4 linked regions of the Caenorhabditis elegans genome follow. The protein of the gene in region 2 interacts with the protein of the main gene of each other region in a pairwise test. Each region holds a gene or a part of one and is shown on either strand. Other genes may lie near its edges.

The links.
Region 1: the proteins of atf-8 (region 2) and ztf-30 interact in a two-hybrid assay, tested with the Caenorhabditis elegans proteins (one large-scale study listed by BioGRID).
Region 3: the proteins of atf-8 (region 2) and atf-2 come close enough for resonance energy transfer, tested with the Caenorhabditis elegans proteins (one large-scale study listed by BioGRID).
Region 4: the proteins of atf-8 (region 2) and ztf-2 interact in a two-hybrid assay, tested with the Caenorhabditis elegans proteins (one large-scale study listed by BioGRID).

The regions. Positions count from the first base shown.
Region 1 is NC_003281.10:8,594,761-8,599,505, forward strand, and holds ztf-30 (Zinc finger transcription factor family protein 30), read right to left. Parts: upstream 3,111-4,745; 5' UTR 3,084-3,110; coding exon 2,939-3,083; intron 2,861-2,938; coding exon 2,741-2,860; intron 1,945-2,740; coding exon 1,729-1,944; intron 1,681-1,728; coding exon 1,519-1,680; intron 1,473-1,518; coding exon 1,030-1,472; intron 984-1,029; coding exon 876-983; 3' UTR 550-875; downstream 1-549.
Region 2 is NC_003283.11:6,103,646-6,108,092, reverse strand, and holds atf-8 (BZIP domain-containing protein), read right to left. Parts: upstream 2,487-4,447; 5' UTR 2,358-2,486; coding exon 2,196-2,357; intron 1,758-2,195; coding exon 1,692-1,757; intron 1,636-1,691; coding exon 1,531-1,635; intron 1,146-1,530; coding exon 924-1,145; intron 866-923; coding exon 695-865; 3' UTR 563-694; downstream 1-562. Other genes in the region: cwf-19L1 (CWF19-like protein 1 homolog), read right to left, coding at 8-122, 173-265.
Region 3 is NC_003280.10:8,750,083-8,754,447, reverse strand, and holds atf-2 (Transcription factor atf-2), read right to left. Parts: upstream 2,463-4,365; coding exon 2,332-2,462; intron 2,258-2,331; coding exon 1,882-2,257; intron 1,652-1,881; coding exon 1,429-1,651; intron 1,347-1,428; coding exon 1,090-1,346; intron 1,017-1,089; coding exon 918-1,016; intron 830-917; coding exon 710-829; 3' UTR 515-709; downstream 1-514. Other genes in the region: K08F8.7 (MARVEL domain-containing protein), read left to right, coding at 1-174, 230-287. UniProt on the Caenorhabditis elegans protein: Acts as a transcription factor that recognizes and binds to the sequence 5'-[GA]TTA[CT]GTAA[CT]-3', a sequence present in many promoters.
Region 4 is NC_003279.8:7,289,719-7,293,462, reverse strand, and holds ztf-2 (Zinc finger protein ztf-2), read right to left. Parts: upstream 2,192-3,744; coding exon 1,786-2,191; intron 1,622-1,785; coding exon 1,292-1,621; intron 1,239-1,291; coding exon 892-1,238; 3' UTR 511-891; downstream 1-510. UniProt on the Caenorhabditis elegans protein: Transcription factor. Represses gene expression, probably via binding to DNA consensus sequence 5'-[AT][CT]TTCC[AC][AG]-3' in promoter regions. May play a role in pharynx morphogenesis.

The sequences.
Region 1 (4,745 bases), on a different chromosome or scaffold from region 2:
ACAATGCTCCAAATTCGTCAAGTTTTTTTTTCCTGAAATGGTCAAATTTTGACAGCAATGACAATGTTCAATGTGAGCACCTATCAGCACATCAACGAAACAACCCACAAAATAATGACAAAATTGCTATGAAAAATAATAATTTGATGAAAACTGACTTTGCGAAATTTGAGAATTTAGCTGAAACAGAGTTTAACATTAAAAAAAACAGAGCTCAGGATATTGGTAGAGGCTCATGACTAAATTTGGTATTTTTGGGTCGCTTTAAGTGAAAATGGACATCGATTTTTTGTTGGAATTAAAGAGCTAAGAAATGAGCTTTCTCAGATTTCAGTTACCATGGATATTTGGCAGAGGATTTATTTAGTTATTTGTTTATTCTGGATAAGAAATCCGTTTACGTCTTTTGTAAATGTATTTTTCAAAAAAAATTTTTTTTGAAAGAGTACCAAAAATTCTGGAACACACATTATTCAACTTTCTATACTGTTTTTTTACTTTCTTGACTTTCTCTGATCAGTTTCAGTTATTTCCTGGAAGAAACGTAGAATACAGCATTTAAATTTATATCAAGTATGTATTATTATTATATTACAATTATGTATATTCAACGTAAGCACTGAGAATTATGGAGATGGAGACACAGAAGGAACACAACGGATCGGATGATTTTGATTTGTTTGTTTAATATTTGTTTTGGAAATAAAAAGCAAAAAATCCCGCAAACAGGAAGAAATAAGTTAAAAAATATAGTTCTGAGATTGGTAAAAAATATTGCGAAAATTATGAGAAATCTCCAAAAATGAAACAATATTAACATGATAGTAAAGCTTGCGAAGTTTGAGGTTTCAGAGAAATTTGGAAAAAAGATAATTCTAAAAAGGACGTGTCAAAATTGTGTTATTTATGAGAATTCGAAGAAATGAATTCATTTCCGAGGCGTCGTGAGCTTTGTCATTTTGAAGAAATTTCACGGCAAGATTCTGAAAAAATAATTTTGAAATACTTCTTTCTGATCTGAAATCTTACCTGACACTCTAACAATTTCCTTTGGAATAGCTCATTGTGCTCACGGAGCGCGTGTGCTTCCATTCTCAATCTGAGCACAGTTTGTTCCAATCCATTCATTTGGGCATTTGCTTCTAAACTTTCTTGTTGCATCGTACCAATTTTGTGTTCCAACAGTTTGCATTTATTTTCAGAAATCAATATCTTTGTCCTGCTGACGTGGCAGTCGAAGCATTCATGACGTGGACTGATCCTTGAAGAAGAAGATGATGAGGATGGTGAAGCTGTATCAATCAATGGAGATGATATAAGAGCACGATCAGAACACAACTGATGGAATGCACTAAGATCAGACTTGAAGCTGACTGATGAGCAAGTTGGTGACTGTGAAGTATACACATCGGGCTTCTCCACTTCATCTTTTATTTTTTCTTTTGAATCTGCTACAAATATTGGTGCCGTAGCTGAAATATTATCATAAGCATTACAAATATTTTGTATGTAACTTACTAGGTATGGGTTTTGGAAGATTTGCAAGCCATGAAGGTGTCTGAGGTTGAGATCGAATAGGCGATTGAAGAGCAGGGATTGGGATGCTTGCAATTGGAAGAGAAGGTACTGATGATTCAAGGGATTGTGGGGTTGGTAGATTTAGAAGTGGAGTACGGATTACTGAAATCAATAATCTTTTTATGTTCATCTCATATCTGATAGTCTTACACTGGAATGGATCTGTAATGAGGTGGCAGCTTCTGTTGATAACTCCATGAGGAATGACACTATTATTATTGTTGTTGCTGTCATTGTTGTTAGTGGCAGTTTGTAGATGAATATGAAGAAGTGATTTATCAGGAAAAGCCCAATTACAGCAACGGCACATGTACATTCGAGAGATATGATGTTGCTTGAACATATGAGTACGAAGAGATTCACTACCTGCAAATTACAATAGTTTTTTATTATTATTCAAAGTCCCCAATTCAAATACAGTACTCCTATAAAGTTTGTCTACTTATCCCAAAGCCATTATTTGACCCCTTACAATTTCGCTCCAATCCTCCACTTTTTTCCCTTCTGCCCCCACTCTCATCCATTGCGCAACCTCATTCAATTGTCCCCGTTCTCGAAAAGTGAGAACTGTGTTTGCGTCTGCGTCTCCACTATTTCGTATTTCTCCGGATGACCTCAATCGTCCGGAGAATGAAGAAACAGTGAAAATTGAATGAGATCAAGAGGAATCTTTCTCCGGAGAGTGGATGGATAGTAAACAATAATTGTTCATACAGATGCTTATACCCGAACAACAATAAAAACGAGTTTCTTGCGGTGTTTCATGTGATAAACAATTCAGGTGTAAACAATATGCTTGTTCAAATATTATAGGTGGATGCTTTAAAATATAGCAGTGGTTTTGCACTGCACAATTTTGCTCTGCAAAATGTTCTACAGTATCCCTGCTAAACCCGGGAAATGAGGAGATCAAATCAAAAGATGTACTGGAGCTTAATACATTTTTGTAGCAAAAGCTCTCTGAGTCCCTGATCGAACAAGTTTTCATTCTATTTCATATTTTTGTCTCCAGCAGCTTTTCAGCTCAAATGTGCAGCTCATTCTTGTATCAAATGTCATGATTATCTTTCTTTCAATTTCGAAAAATCTGTGATTGAGGATTTTTCTTAATGCTCGGAAGATCACCTCATTGTCAATAAAAAATAAATAACTTCCGACTTACTTGAGATATCTTTTCGGCATACTGTGCATTTGTAGCTTTTGAAGTGAGCCTGCATACGGTGGCGGGAGAGACTTGAAGAATGACAGAAAACTTTTGAACAGATTGAGCAACGGAACGAACCTGAAATTCAGAATCATTATAAAAGTAAGAACCTAATCAGATTTGGTGGACTAATAACAATTCCCAGAACTTACAAACCTTTTAAATCGGGTCGTTTTAACTCAACACCACTTCCACCTTTGGATCCACTGATATCAGTTCCATTCTCAACCTCCACGTCACTACCGTAACCTTCCTCCTCTGTATTTGTGGGTGAATGAATTTTATCGTCTTCCAGCTTCATATCCATTTCAAGATGCATGATTTTGAGCTGAATCATGAAACATGAAGACACATGAAACAATACAAAGGCAGATAAAATGAGGAAGTAAAAAATCTGAAAATCGAATGAAAGAAAAGATGTGTGAGCTCATAGCATTTTGAGCACATAGGCACTTTTCAATGTGTGCAGGCAAAAGGCCATTATGATGACGGAGGAGGAAGAAGAAAGATGCAAAAAGTAATAAAAAAAGCTTAACTACAGGCATCCAGATCAATGACGCTGACGGTAAGAATGATCCATTCTCTTTTTAGTGTATGTCATGTAATCCCAAATCCAGATCATTTTACAAGAATGACTTGAATTTCTAAAATAGAATGTGCTGCAAGGATACGGTAGATTAACTCAGATAACGAATGAATCATTGCATTCAATGTTTTGGAGCAGCAGGAGCACGGGAATTTTATGAGAACGTGTGTGTGAGAAGCTTCAAATTTTAAAAGTAAATCGGAGGAGCTTGAAATCAGCAATCGTAGTATTATCTTTCAACATTATTGCCTGGTTTCGCGTACCTAATATATTTACAGAATTTTTGGGGCAACAGTTTCCAAGAATAACTTGTTTGGAGGCTTTTCCAAACTGTGACTCTTTGCTCCATTATTTAGAAGACGTTTTTTAATTTTGAACTCTTTCGTAGAAAAAAGAAGAACTTAGTGTGAACGTTGAGTAGCCAATAAATGGCAATTTGTCAGTATTCACTTATTTTAGGAGACTCTAAAAAGACAATCTCTGGAGTTTTTAGAAAACTCTAAAAAATGCTGGTCATGTTGGACTATTATTAGTGTATTCAAGTTTTGACATAGTCTCTTGTTTTGAAATTTATGAAATGGTTAAAACAGCTAGATTTAAAAATTTCATCAGCCATTGTTTGATCATCTGGGCAAATCTTAAAGCATAATCTTCTAATCTTTTTTGAGAGACCTGTTTTTAAAATCCAAAGAAAATCCTTCGAAGAAAGTTTATGGTTTGTACTTCAAAATCGTCGGACAAGTTGTTTCTAAGAAAGTGAAGCAAAAAAGGTTTAATGATGGATTTTGCATAAGAAAACTAAGTAGGTTTAAAGTTTAATCGCGGGGGAGTGTTTGCAAAAAAGGCACATCTTTAGGGACTTTTTTCTAGATTTAACAAATGAAAAAGCCGTGCAAATTTCAGTTTACTTGGTTCCCATATCCCAAAAAGAGACCATAAACATTAGATTAAAACTAGGCACTTGTAATAAGCCTAATGACGTGGCACCGAAATGTTGCAACCCGTGACTATGAACTATACAAGGTCAAACTGTCAATACACCTATCCTTTCCGCTAATTATCCATCGTCACCAAGACGGCTAAGACGGAAAAAAGATGAAGACGGACGGCAATGGATTGAAGGGAATAAGACGAAAGTGTCAATACGCAAAGACTAGGTCAAACCGGAGAAGATGAGAAAGTATAGAAGAATAAGAGATACAGACTAGAGGAATGACGTAAGGTTTCCAGGAGAAGCTAGGTGAGATGAAGTGGAAGTAAAGAATTTGGAAAAAAAATGTGCTAGAATTGGGGAGAAAATCTCAATAAATTGTAAGCATGTGAAGGCAGTGGGGAATGGGTTCTGAATTATTTCGAACACATAAGCTCCGGCAGTTG
Region 2 (4,447 bases):
AACATACCCAAAATGTAGGTTGGAATTGGAAATTCGATATTTCCATTGATAACTTTCTCATTTGAATCGTCATCGTCGCCGAAAAACTCGCCAACACAAAATAGTGAATCGAATGGGCCATTCTAAAGAAAAAAAAATAATTGAATGAATCCCAAAAATCGATAAAACATGCCTTTTTTTCGGTTGTTGATATTTTCTTGATGAGTTCTACAAAATTTCCATTCACATCACCACAACACAATATTTTCGCTTGTTGTGTGGCCATCTGAAAATTTATCTTGATTCTTGTGAATATTTTTATTTAATTTTAACAAGAAAAATGAAAAACCAATTGGAAAAACAACTGAAAACAAGGAAAATCATTCAAATTGAGAACGCAATAAATTATTCGTAAATCCACACAACTCGCGGAACGCTAGGCCACGTCCCGGTTTCCTAGTCCATTTGGTGTCTTTTCGGCGGCTGTTCAAATTTAGTTTTTTCTGATATGTTTTTTCGGTCACAATTTCTTATTGAATCATAATTTTTTGTACTTTAAATGCAGAACCTTTTGAACAAAAATGTGAATGAACGTTTATTACATCGGTTAGCTTTGCAAATCACAGATATCTTTTCGAGTTTTACGAGTACTGGCTCAACTAATCAATAATTACAAACATGAATGCATAATTTCAGAGTAATATTTCAAAAATGATCAAGTTTTAGAAGAGTTGCTGACTAGCACTGTACTCCGAAGAAGAGATGGTGAAGGAGTCTTTGGAATTTTTAATGGAAGAGGTGCATACATCTGACTTGTAGTTATCACTGATGAAGCTGGAGCCGTTTGTGCAGTGAGAAGTGGTAAAGATTGTAGAGGAATTGGAATCTGGAAATTTGAATTTTGAAGAACCACTTATATTTTGATTGGATATCAATTAACTTACACTAATAGACGTTGTAGGTGTCGTCAAAATCAGTGCTCTTAGCTTATCAGTTTCTGCTCTCAGTTGATCTAATTCTACACGGAGCAACATATTTTCACGTTCTAGACTTGTTGCTCTATGAGCCATTTCATCTTCTTTCATTCTTCTTTGATCACGACTTCGTTTCGCAGCATCATTATTCTTTCGTCGTCGTTCCCAATATGCTACATCTTTCACTTGATCCTGAAAATAAATTTGTTTCAATTTTTACTCAAAATGGTATATTTCTGGGATGGGAACTAAGAATTATTTAAAATTTAAAATAAGAATAATGTTTAAGGCATCTTCTAGATTTAGTCATAATTTGGGAGTGAATAAAAACATAACTTTTGGAGATGTTACACAGAAGTGTCTGTCTGGCTCTTTTCAGTTTTCAATTGGACTTTCAGCAAATCAATTAAGAAGAGAAACTACCAAATTTTCACTATCCAAATACCAAAATACCAGAGTTCACGCCAAATGCAGAACTGGCTGCAGGCATCCCCGTGCGCCTGAAGTTCCCCGTGCGCCTGCTGCCTACCAGGGAAACTCTATTGTTATGTGTATGTATGATTTTTTTTAGATTTACCTTTTTCCGTTTCAATTCATTTCTGACAATGACGTTATCCCGACTGCTTCCTCCAGTTGATGTCGGGGATGATGAATCATGACTACTGTCTCGCGATGAGCATGACTGAAAAATAAAGAAGCTTGTAACATCATAGTTCAAGAATCTGAGGCTCAACTTACCTCTGCCTTTTCACTATTGTTATTGTTTTGCTCAAAGAGCCGTTCAGTTGATTCGTAGGTTGTTGGCTGAAAATATAATAGTTTATACCTCACCTGTTCATGTTTATTCATTTTGACTAAAATTTGTATCATTTAAATTCCTAATACCGTATTTCAGCTATTAATGAAACTTCCTTTTCCTCGAATTTGATATTTTATATCTGGGAGGCCAATTTTCAAAATTTAATGTAGAAAAAAATTTGGCAACTGACTATATAGATTTTGTTTATTTTTCCTATTGTTTCTTAATAAATTACTTATTGATGTTTAATACGAACCAAAATATTTGCTGCCAAAGTGGAATAATGGGGTTCTAGTCTAATTGGGATAATACGGTATGTTTTTATTTATTCTGGCAGGTTTGTATCAGTTGGAAAATAAAATAGCCTAAAGTTTCATAAAATATTTAGAAATACCAAATGTATGTATGTATATGCTGATTTACTATTACTTGCATAGACTTACATTATAGGTATTGAGATGTAGTAAATGTGTATTTGAAAGTAATGCTGGATGAATAGGAAGATGAAAAGCTGAAGAGTAGGGTGATACGTCAAATGTTGCAGTTAAAGTTGAAGGATGAGCACATAGGCTCTTAAAAGCAGATGGTTCATGACATGAAGCCATATGTAATTTCAGATTTGTTGCGCTTTCAAAGAGAGAAAGTCCGGTGTATAAGTGTGTGTGTGGGAAGAGAGAAAGTATGAAATTCGAAAATGAAAGTCGTCCTCTCACTGACCTAATTCTCTTGATTTCACTGCTTCCCGTTGCGCGCGCGCCCTCCCGCAAAAGGGGTCATCGGTCGGACGGTCCGAAGAGGGGGTGACCAGAGGCGATCCGTCCATTCGTCCCAGGCATACGGAGAATTATGCAATGTTGTGTTGGTACGAGTCGGAACGAGTGAAAGTTGCGTTGAAAGGAAGCGGTCGGATTTTGACTGAAAACGACGGACATACTGACCAACACAGCTAATTGTTCGAGGGAGGGATGCGGGATGATGATGATGAAGGGGAAACTCTAGAAAGTTCGAATGAACTGTGAACTTTCCATGTATAGAGATTTGGTTGTATTTGCTTGGGAAAGGAATACAGTATTGTAAATTGTTTTAATAAACTGTTTAGTTGAATAAAATACTAGTAACTTTACGTACATACTTCAGCCAATTCTAAACCAACTCTTGCAAACTCTAGCAAGTTGCTCAGAGCGTTCCCGAAGATTGAAAACACGTTTCCATTTAGCTAACTTTCCCAGCTTTCGCTACTACCGTAGATGGCACATACATATAAAGTGTCTTTTTATTTGACGAAAAAAATGATTGAAACTGTCTTGAAAACTATTACAACTTCTTCCAAAAATATTTGAGCAATAGAAGATGGTAGACACGCCTTCTGTAGTTCAGTTTCAATTTTGATTTTGATGGTAGGCATGTATGTCTGTAAGAATGCCTGCCTGCCAACCGCATAATTGGAACACATTATTTTAAGTATTTTTGTATAAGTACTATGAATGCTTTGAATAATAATATGTTGTTAAAACTAACATCATCAAAAAATCATGTGTTTGTCTTGCGTTGAAAGGACAGACGTTCAATAGTCAATTATCTAAATTCGAGAAGAGGAACAAGTTCTTGAAGCTTTCCGTATCATATGTTATGCGATGATTATTAGTCATGAATTCGGTCAGACACAACAATGCATAATCCGGGATTCGATGTTTCAATGTTAGTAGAGAACAATCGAGAAATAAAAGTGATGTTTTGGCAATTGGAAAAGCTAGACTAGGAATGAGGATAAATTATGACATCATTAGGACTTGTAATTTAGAAATTACACGGAGGCAAACCGTAATGCGTTTTTTTAAAATAATATTTTCTTAATTTTTTCCTTTTAATTTCTGCTCAAGTTTGTTTGTTGGCAAAATAAATTATTTAAAACTTCTCAAAACTATTTAAATAGGTTTTTTGAAAGGATGTGAAATTCCTTATGGAATTTTAGATGATCTTCAATTTGAAAACTGTTGGCAGAGTATCGCCAGTGAAAAATTTTTCTAAACAAAATAACTCAAAAAAAATCAGATCTTTCAAAGTTGTCAGTAGAAGTTTTTGGTAAATTGCCAAATGTTCCAAAAATGTGGACGTTTTGAAAATGTTGAGCATTTCAGATTTAAGCTACTGCAATCTTCAAATAAAAATATTTGAAACATAGCTAGAATATATGAATCGCAAAAAGAGTTTTGGTAAATTGGTATATTTTTCACAACTGTGGTATTGGTCTCATTCAGTTATACATCTTTATTCTTAACTTTGATATACCGTACTCTAAATAAACTTTCCTATTACAACCACACTTTTAAATTTCATATGTTTTCACTCTTCAGAGGTCAAAAATTGGAAGAAATTATTAACGAAAAAAATAAAAAATTAGAAATTAATTATTATGTTTTTATGTTCAATTTACGTTTCAATTTTTCGTATTTGAAACTTGGCAATTTACCAAAGCTTTCACTATAAATTTTTTTACTTTTTCTACAAAATTTTAGTGTGTTTTACTACGTTATCCTGTCATTTTAGACTATAATAAGTGAGTACAGTATTGTTTTCATTTAGTTCATATTTCTATGTTCTATTATAATTGTCTGTATCTGATATTCGATTTTTTTGAATGAACATGAGTTTTAAAGTATATCAAAGTTAAAATACGGATGTATAGCTAAAGGAG
Region 3 (4,365 bases), on a different chromosome or scaffold from region 2:
TTATCAATCAGTTTCCACTGGAACATTCCAAGTTGCTTCAGTATTTTGCTTTTTGGTTCTAGTATTTGGACTTCTGGATCTAGGCCTGAATGCCTTCTATTTTTATCGTAATTCAAAAAAGGCGCCAATTTATGACATTCCGCCACCGTCTGTTGCCGTCATCGAAACGGAAAAGTGGGTCAAGATTTGCATAAAATTAGGAAATATTTTATATTTCATGTCCTTTCAGAAGTATACATGACATTTACATGGAGTATCAACGAAAAGGGCAAACAAGTTCTGTTTAATGGAAAAGTAATCAAATAATTATCAATGCTCAACTTTAAATTCACTTTCTCATAATAATTTGTATATATGAAACATTAATAAAACAATTTTCTGATTCAGTTATATCATTCTGAAAAGTTTCCGTTTTCTGGCAAGCGACGGGTGGATTTTAAAAATCGTTTGCAGACTTTACTTTTTTTTGTTGTTTCACCTTTTTTTGTACAGGAAGCAAATCAAAAATAATAACACATTGGTTTTATTAGAAACAATTAATGAAACATTTAAAGTTAAAAAGTATTGCACATGAATGATTGGAAGTATTGCAGAAAGAGAGGAAGGGTTTTTTGAGAGCGAAAGACTTTGATTGGGGGGCATCTAGCGAGAAGACGAAGAAAATTGGCTTTCTATCCGTATTAGTCAAAAATAAGAAAATGGAATGGGATCAAGGGTGAAGGGCAGTAACAACTGATGCTCTTTGAGCCAAAACTGATTTGAAGTGGGCTATTTCTGCTTTTAGCGTTTCGATTTGGGTACGAAGATCTTCATTTTCACCTTCCAAGAGCTGAAAATGTTAAGTAATAATTGATTCAATAAATTTATATCTAAGTTTTAAAATTTTATGTTTTCTATTAAAATTAGTTTCAACTTACCTGAACTCGTCGTGACCTGTATTCGAATACTGCTCGTCTATTTGCTCTACATCTTTTTGCGGCTTCATTGTTCCTTCGACGTCTGTCCACATATTGGGGCTGAAAGTTTTTTTTTGAAATATTTGACATGTATTTAAAAATGTCTTCTTTCAATTCCTTTAAAAAAACTTACCGATTTGTTCGAATAATTTGAGTGATCTTCCGAAGAATGCGATGGAGAGAAAGATGCTGAAGACGATACACTTTCACAGTCTGATTTGTTTCCAGTATGTCTTGGAGGGGAATTTAGCCCCGAAATATGTTCCGTTCGGCTTTGTGGTACTGTAGGAGAAGGTCTTCGCTGTGAAAGAAGAGCAGATAGCAGGGATGGTCCTTGTTGAACAGCTTGGATTACTGGTTGAGGCGTACCTGATGGAGCAGGCTGACCGACTGAAATAAATTTTAGATTATAGTTTCAATTAATACTAGTGAAATGAAAATATGCTCTTTACTTTCAAAAACAACGACTTACTTTGTTGAATAACGCTAGATCCAGGCTGTAACTGAGGTTGAGGCATATTCACGTCAGTTGATGAATCTGGACTTCTTCGTTCAATTTTCACAATTACGCTACTCGATGGAAAACTCTGCTGAGCACTTTCTGATGGTCGAAAAGGATGAAATGCAGATGAAGACGATGAAGAGAATAAAGATGATGCTGACGTTGATGCAGGTTGTTGAGTGCTCGCATAGACCTACAAACATGGAAAAACGTTATGGGACATCTGTCTTTCTAGGTCACGCATTCAGCTGTCAATGTATTCATTAAATTGTTGACAATCTGAGTTGTGTTGCCAAAAAATGACAATGGAACTTTATATGCGGTTCAGACGTTTTTGTAATAGTAAATATTTTTCCACGAGTTAATTTATTTTATTTAAATCATCACAATTTCGATATTTCCAAGTTCAATAAAATAACTTACCGGTGACTGAATAGTTGTTGGCTGTAGTTGACAAAGCTGCAACATTGATGGAATATGCGAAGCTGCCTGGAGCAATGGAACAGTAAGCATTGAACTCGCTTGCAAAGATGCTATTGGACCCGCTGGGAAAAGATTCTTTGCAACTTGGGGAATAATCAGAGATGTTGGAGGCTCTGTTACTGATGGTTGTGGAATTGGTGTCGTTCCTAACTGAGATTTTAACCGTTCGTTTTCGGCGGAAAGTAACATTATTTTTTCTTCCATTGCTAGATCGTTTTGCCTTCGCTTTTCTCGACTTCTTCTTGATGCATCGTTATTTCTCCGTCGCCTTTCCCAGTAATGTTCATCTTTTATTACACTTTCGTTTACGGAATTTCTGGAAAAATAGTTATCAATGTCGAAAAGTATTTAAACTTTCAAAAGTTTCATCAAACTGTTAAAAATTCAAACCTTCTAGATTCCGGGGGAGATCCTTCTGAAAAGTTCGACGAATCCGACGAGCTCGATGAGAACTCGGCGGATGCCGAACAAACCACCGAAAGTCTGGAGGACGGTGACAATGATGCCGAGTCGACGTCCATCTGAAAAATAAAAATAAGATGATTAAAAGTCAAACAAAAGAAGAAAATCAAGAATATAGAAGTACGAAATTTGAAAGAAAAGAACATCGGTGAAAGAAATATGAATACCAAAATCTTTCAAAATGAATTAAGACACAACATTTATATTTTGACTTCAAAATGTTAGTACACATGGTGTATTGAAATGGAAAGTTAGTAGAGTTAAAAGAAGCTGTCAACCTATTTGATGTAAGGACAAATACGTCTTTTTGAGTTGAAATTGACACGATCTTTGGAGATTCAGCACAATCAGAAGTTCAATGTGTTCACTGTTTCCAGATATTATTAATTAATTGTAAGCCATTTTAATTGACCAATGTGTATACAAAAATTATTCAGTTTTTGGTTTCAGTGAAGATGATCTTACGCAATGCTAATCCCTGAGTATCTAGACAACCAGAAAATCACTAACTTAAAAAAAGGTGAGAAAACAAAGTATATCTGGTACAGGTGTGTTCATATGGTAGGTGTAGAGTGCAGTTAGCAACAATTAAGCGGTGTTGTGCCTCTCCTCAGTTGACCTATTTGCGCCTTGCAAACCAGTTAGCCATGGTCAATGTTTCGGACAATGCTTGGTAGATCCTCTCACTCTCAGTCTCTACAATAAACCAGTCGAAGAACAGGATATCCCCTCCGACTTTCGCCCCCTTCTCTCTTCATTGCAGTCCCTTCTCTTTTTCTTCGACCCGTCTCCTAATCATTTTTCATCGTTCGCAACGACTTCAACGCGTCGCCTCCTCCGATCCATGATGATGCCGACTTTTCCTAATTGTTTTCACTTTCCTTTCGCTTTCATGCTTAACTTTCGCTGCTTCGGGTTACGGATGTATGTGTGTCTAAGTGTGAGAAGGAGGAGGAGGTCAATGGTTGAATTCGTCGCATCAGGTCACTAGTACAAAAGGGTAGGTGAACTTTGCGGAGAATTGGAAGACAAGAGGATGAAGCTACTGGGTGGAAAGTGAATAATGAGATACGGCTAAAAGATAAAGTTGAAAAAGATAACGAAGAAAAAATTGGTAGGTTTAGATAAACAAAAGTCTTGAAAAATTCATAAACGCACTCTAGGTCAGGACTGTAAAATATGACCAATGTGAGTGCAAGCCTGATAGAGAAATTTTGGTTATTTTTCACTGCTGAACACAAAAAATGATACTCAATTCTGAAAGTAATTGTTCAAGAAACTCGGAAACGATACAAGCAAATGTATTCAAAATGAAAAAAATGCGTTGAACTAGATGAACAAATTCGCGAAATCGGGCTGGACTTGTTTGTTTTTGATTGTGCACCTTGAAAAAGAGTGGCGAGAGCCAAAATAACCGCCGCCCGTGTTGGGGGACAATCGTCAGCGAAAAGAGAGAGCTATTTTTGTTTGTTTGTAAGGCTCGGAGAATGACGAGAAGTGAATCACAAACAGTGTCCACTATCCTCCCGCACCGCTTCCAAAACTTTTTTGTCTGCAAACCAGAACAGCCAAATTCACTGCATCATTTGATGATTTTGATGACCAGTGAGTGTGTGCCTGTCCCTTGCTGTGTCTACTTCAGTAGTTTTACATGGAGAGCGGATAATACGGTTAGGTAGAGTAACAGAGTGAGAGTGCACTTTTGGTAGTTGATTGCGAAAGTGAGGTGTTGAAATGATGGTATTCTTGTTGGGAACTGAAAGATCGCAGTTCGATACGAGAAAGAGAGAGTGGCTAGCACGATCATATCGTTCGGGAACGAGTCGGTGAAAGTATGCAGGCTATGGGAAGGAAAGTGAATGAAATTGGAAAAAGAGGAGAGAAAATTGAAATTCAATTTTAGATAAAGGTATCTTTACTTGAATCTAGGATTGTCAAGAAGAACTGTTATTTTCTTAGAAC
Region 4 (3,744 bases), on a different chromosome or scaffold from region 2:
GATCGACGGGTAGAAAAACATTCAGTTTTATAAATTAGATAAAATAAGAAATTAGACGAACCAAGGAAAATCGGACGTGACAGGAACAAAGAAGGTATGTAGGCAGGCCAGATAAGAAGCAAGTTAGTGAACTGGCAGTAATGAGGTAGGAAAAATAAGCGTTTCCCAGGTCTGGTGTAGGCAGATTTTGAAATGTAAGAATTATTGTTTTCAAAATTATTTATCGAGATTTTTTGTTGTAAATCACAAATACATGTTTTGGTGTCACCAGAACGCTGCCGCTGCTGTTTTAGACCACAATAGGTGGGAGAAAGGTGGCAAACGCGACTGAATTTCGAGTATTTGTTGAATAATTGTGATATTTTTACAAAAGGTGGGGAGCAGGTGGCAAAAAGGTGGGCGGAAGGTGAGAAGACCTCAAAAGGTGGGAGAAAGGAGGCACTAAATGCCGAGCAAATACAAATCAATAATATCGCTTAAAATATGAGTTTATGCAGTGGTGATAATACTTTTTTAAACAAGCGTATATTTCCAAATATTCGTAACGATATAAATAAGAACAATCCCGAAAAAAAGAGAAATCGGTGAAAAATGTGATAGAGAAATATGGAGGGATGTGTGATAGAAACATGACTCGTATAGTAGAAACAGATAAGGAAAATAAAATTAGCAAAGAAAATATGAATTCACCAGGAAGCTGAGAGTTGAGACGAGATTCGTATGTGAGTAGATACCTAAGATTTGGGGTTTTTTTGGGGTTTGTGTGCGTGATTGGCTAAGTAGAACAGAAAATATATTGGTTCGAGTATATGAACCTGAGATATTCAAGTAAAGAAGTGATAAATTGTTTTAATTATAAATTTTGAGATTATGGATTCAAGATCTTAAGAATTACATCTCAACGTCAACCATCTCATCTTGTTGAGAAGGTGTAAGTATCGTAGTTGGGATGATTTGTGGAAAAGATGTTGGAATAGTTGGACTATTCAACAAGGAAGATTGTAGGAGAGATGCCAAGTATAATGACATTAATGGATTTGGCTGAAGGCTCAGCAGAGCTGATTGAATGTCTGGAAGGAAAGATGGAGTGACTGGAAGTGTTGGTGACAACAGAAGAGGTGATGATCCAAGTTGAGGAGTTGGTAGGGATGATGTAATAATCGATGCTTCTTCTTCAGGATCTGTCTGAATTCCGCTGTCTGATGAGGATTCGCTTCTGCACGGGGATAATGGAGATGCTGAAAAAAGGAATTTAAATCATGAAATTAAACTATTTAAAATTATGGTTTACCTTTCTCATAAGTTGGCATAACGTTGTAAATCATATCAACATGGGAGCATGGACCATTGGAATGAGCAAGTGCTCCTTGGACATCTTCAAATTTAGCGCCACATCGACAAACACATGGGGAGGTGTTGTGAAGATGGCTTACATGACTGTTCAATACAGATACTCTTTCATCTTCAAATGAGCACAATTGGCAACGATAGAACACTGTTCTCTTTTCAGAAATTATGCATCGATCAGAGTCTGAAGAACACGAAGAATCCATTGAACTGTTGGTGGCATCGAAGACTTTCGAACGGCTGTATTTGGAGACAACACGGATTCCATGAGTTTCTGAAATTATTGAGGTTGGAGAATACATTTTCAGGTATAGCAGAAGCTAATTGATTACATTTCAAAAATTGTTCTAAGCTGCCAAACTTCAAATCTGACAGAATTACAAAAGGTTTAAAGCGAATTCAAATACCTAAAGTAATAGAAAAGTAATATGAACTCACTTGCAACATGTCGAATAAGGTCAGCCTTCCACTTGCTGGTTCTGGAGCAATAACGACACTTGAATGGTCTTTCACTGGTATGAACTCTCTTATGACGAATCATCTCAGACACCCATTTTCCTTGGTAACCACAGGTAGAGCAGGTGCGTGTAGATACATCAGGATCCAATTCCATTTTTTTCATTTCAATCTCATCATCTGGTCCTTCAATTGCTTCTTGTTCACTTAGATATCTCTTTTCAAATGGTTGATCGTCGGCTTTGCGAGCAACAAGAGCATCAAGAGTGTTTGATGGATTGGCTACTTCACCACGTCGTCTTTTACGACGATGTTCTTTTTCAGGTGAGGAAAGAGTTGAGAGTAGAGTGGATACGTCAAGGGCAGTGAGCAACGATTCACAATTCATCTTAAATTTACGAAATTTAAAGAATGCAATTAAAAAGTGGAAATGTTATAGTAAGTTTAGAAATGTTATTTTTTCAGTTGTTAAGTTTGCAGATTCTAATATTGAACCGAGATCAAAAATAAGAAAGAGTAGACCACGAATGAGAAAAAGTAATGAAAAGAAGGTGTGGGAAAATTTGGAGAAAGAAAAAGTATCAATGTACTTGGAACTGGAGGAACATTCTGATATCTATTTTGTCTAGAAAGACGAGAGAATTGGAGATAAGAAGTGGAAAAAGTGAAAGTTGCTCCAAGATAAGGGAAGGGTCACCAGGAAGCAAGCGCCGATTCGGGAAGGAATGGATATGGCAAAATGCGGATGGGGCGCGCGGTACCTTTTCGCTCCTACCACAGTATGTTGACACAAGTTTTGTTGGGGGAAAAAGAGGAGGAGGCCGAAGGGTGGGAGGTCGTCGCATCAGCGAACTGTTCACTTCCGGGGCTGACTGACTTTCACAGCAACAGCAGTAGGAGGAAGAGGATACGTTTACTTTTTACAAAATATCAGCAACACACAACTCTTTCTTGCGCTCGGCCACAAGGTTTTGGTTGGACAAACAGTTCGGTCAGTGAACTCGTTTTGAGCCAAAGCGTACGTGAAGTTGGAGCATGACGTGGCCATATTGAGATCGGATGACCGTTGATGGGAGGAGAAAGAGTTTTGGGAAAGTTATTTGGTATTGGCTCACCTGCTCCCAGTTAGGCATAGTGCTGCAGAGGTACAGGCGCAAAGGCTACTGTAGGTGGATATAGGGGACGGCTAGAAAAATAGAAAAGGGACCGTGGAGATTTTCAAACCCAACTAGAGTATTCCGAGATATCTAGTGCTTACTGTAAGTGAATGCAAAAAAGAAGAGTATGATGTGTATTATGAAGGTTAATTATTGAGAGCGATCATCTTTCGAAAAAAAGTGCACTTTCCGAGCATGAAATTGCCAACTCGGATTTCTAGAGAATTTTTGAAATCCAGGGCAACAAGAACCATTCCAGAAAAGAACGTATTTGAAAAGACTGCAATAGTAATTCTAGACGTCTTGTGGGCTTTTACCAGGCACAGGTAAGTTAGCCCTAAAATGAATATGAACTTACAAAAGTAGCTAGGTGCTTTTTTCTTTTCAAATAAGTGTAAAAACTACGGTAGGCAGTTACTCAAAATATGACGTAGAGTTTAACATAAACCTTACAAATATCAACTCGGGTTTCTAGAGTACTTCAAGTATTTTTGAAATCTAGGGTAACTAGAACCAAAACATATTTGAACATAATTTCAAAGATGACCTTCTTCAACGTCTTCAATGCCTTCTTGTTCCTAATCGTCATCGTCTTCTTCTCTTTTTCAATTCAGGCACATGTTTGCTCAAGCACAGTTTGCGTAACCACCACCATCGCCGCGGCGTCTCCTGCAGCCATTCGGTTTTTTCTCGCGCCCTCAACTTCTTCGAGGAAATCCAAATAGGAACAACCTGGTACAGAATGGTCGGAAAGGACCTCAAGGCGGCCCCGCACAGTTCAAAC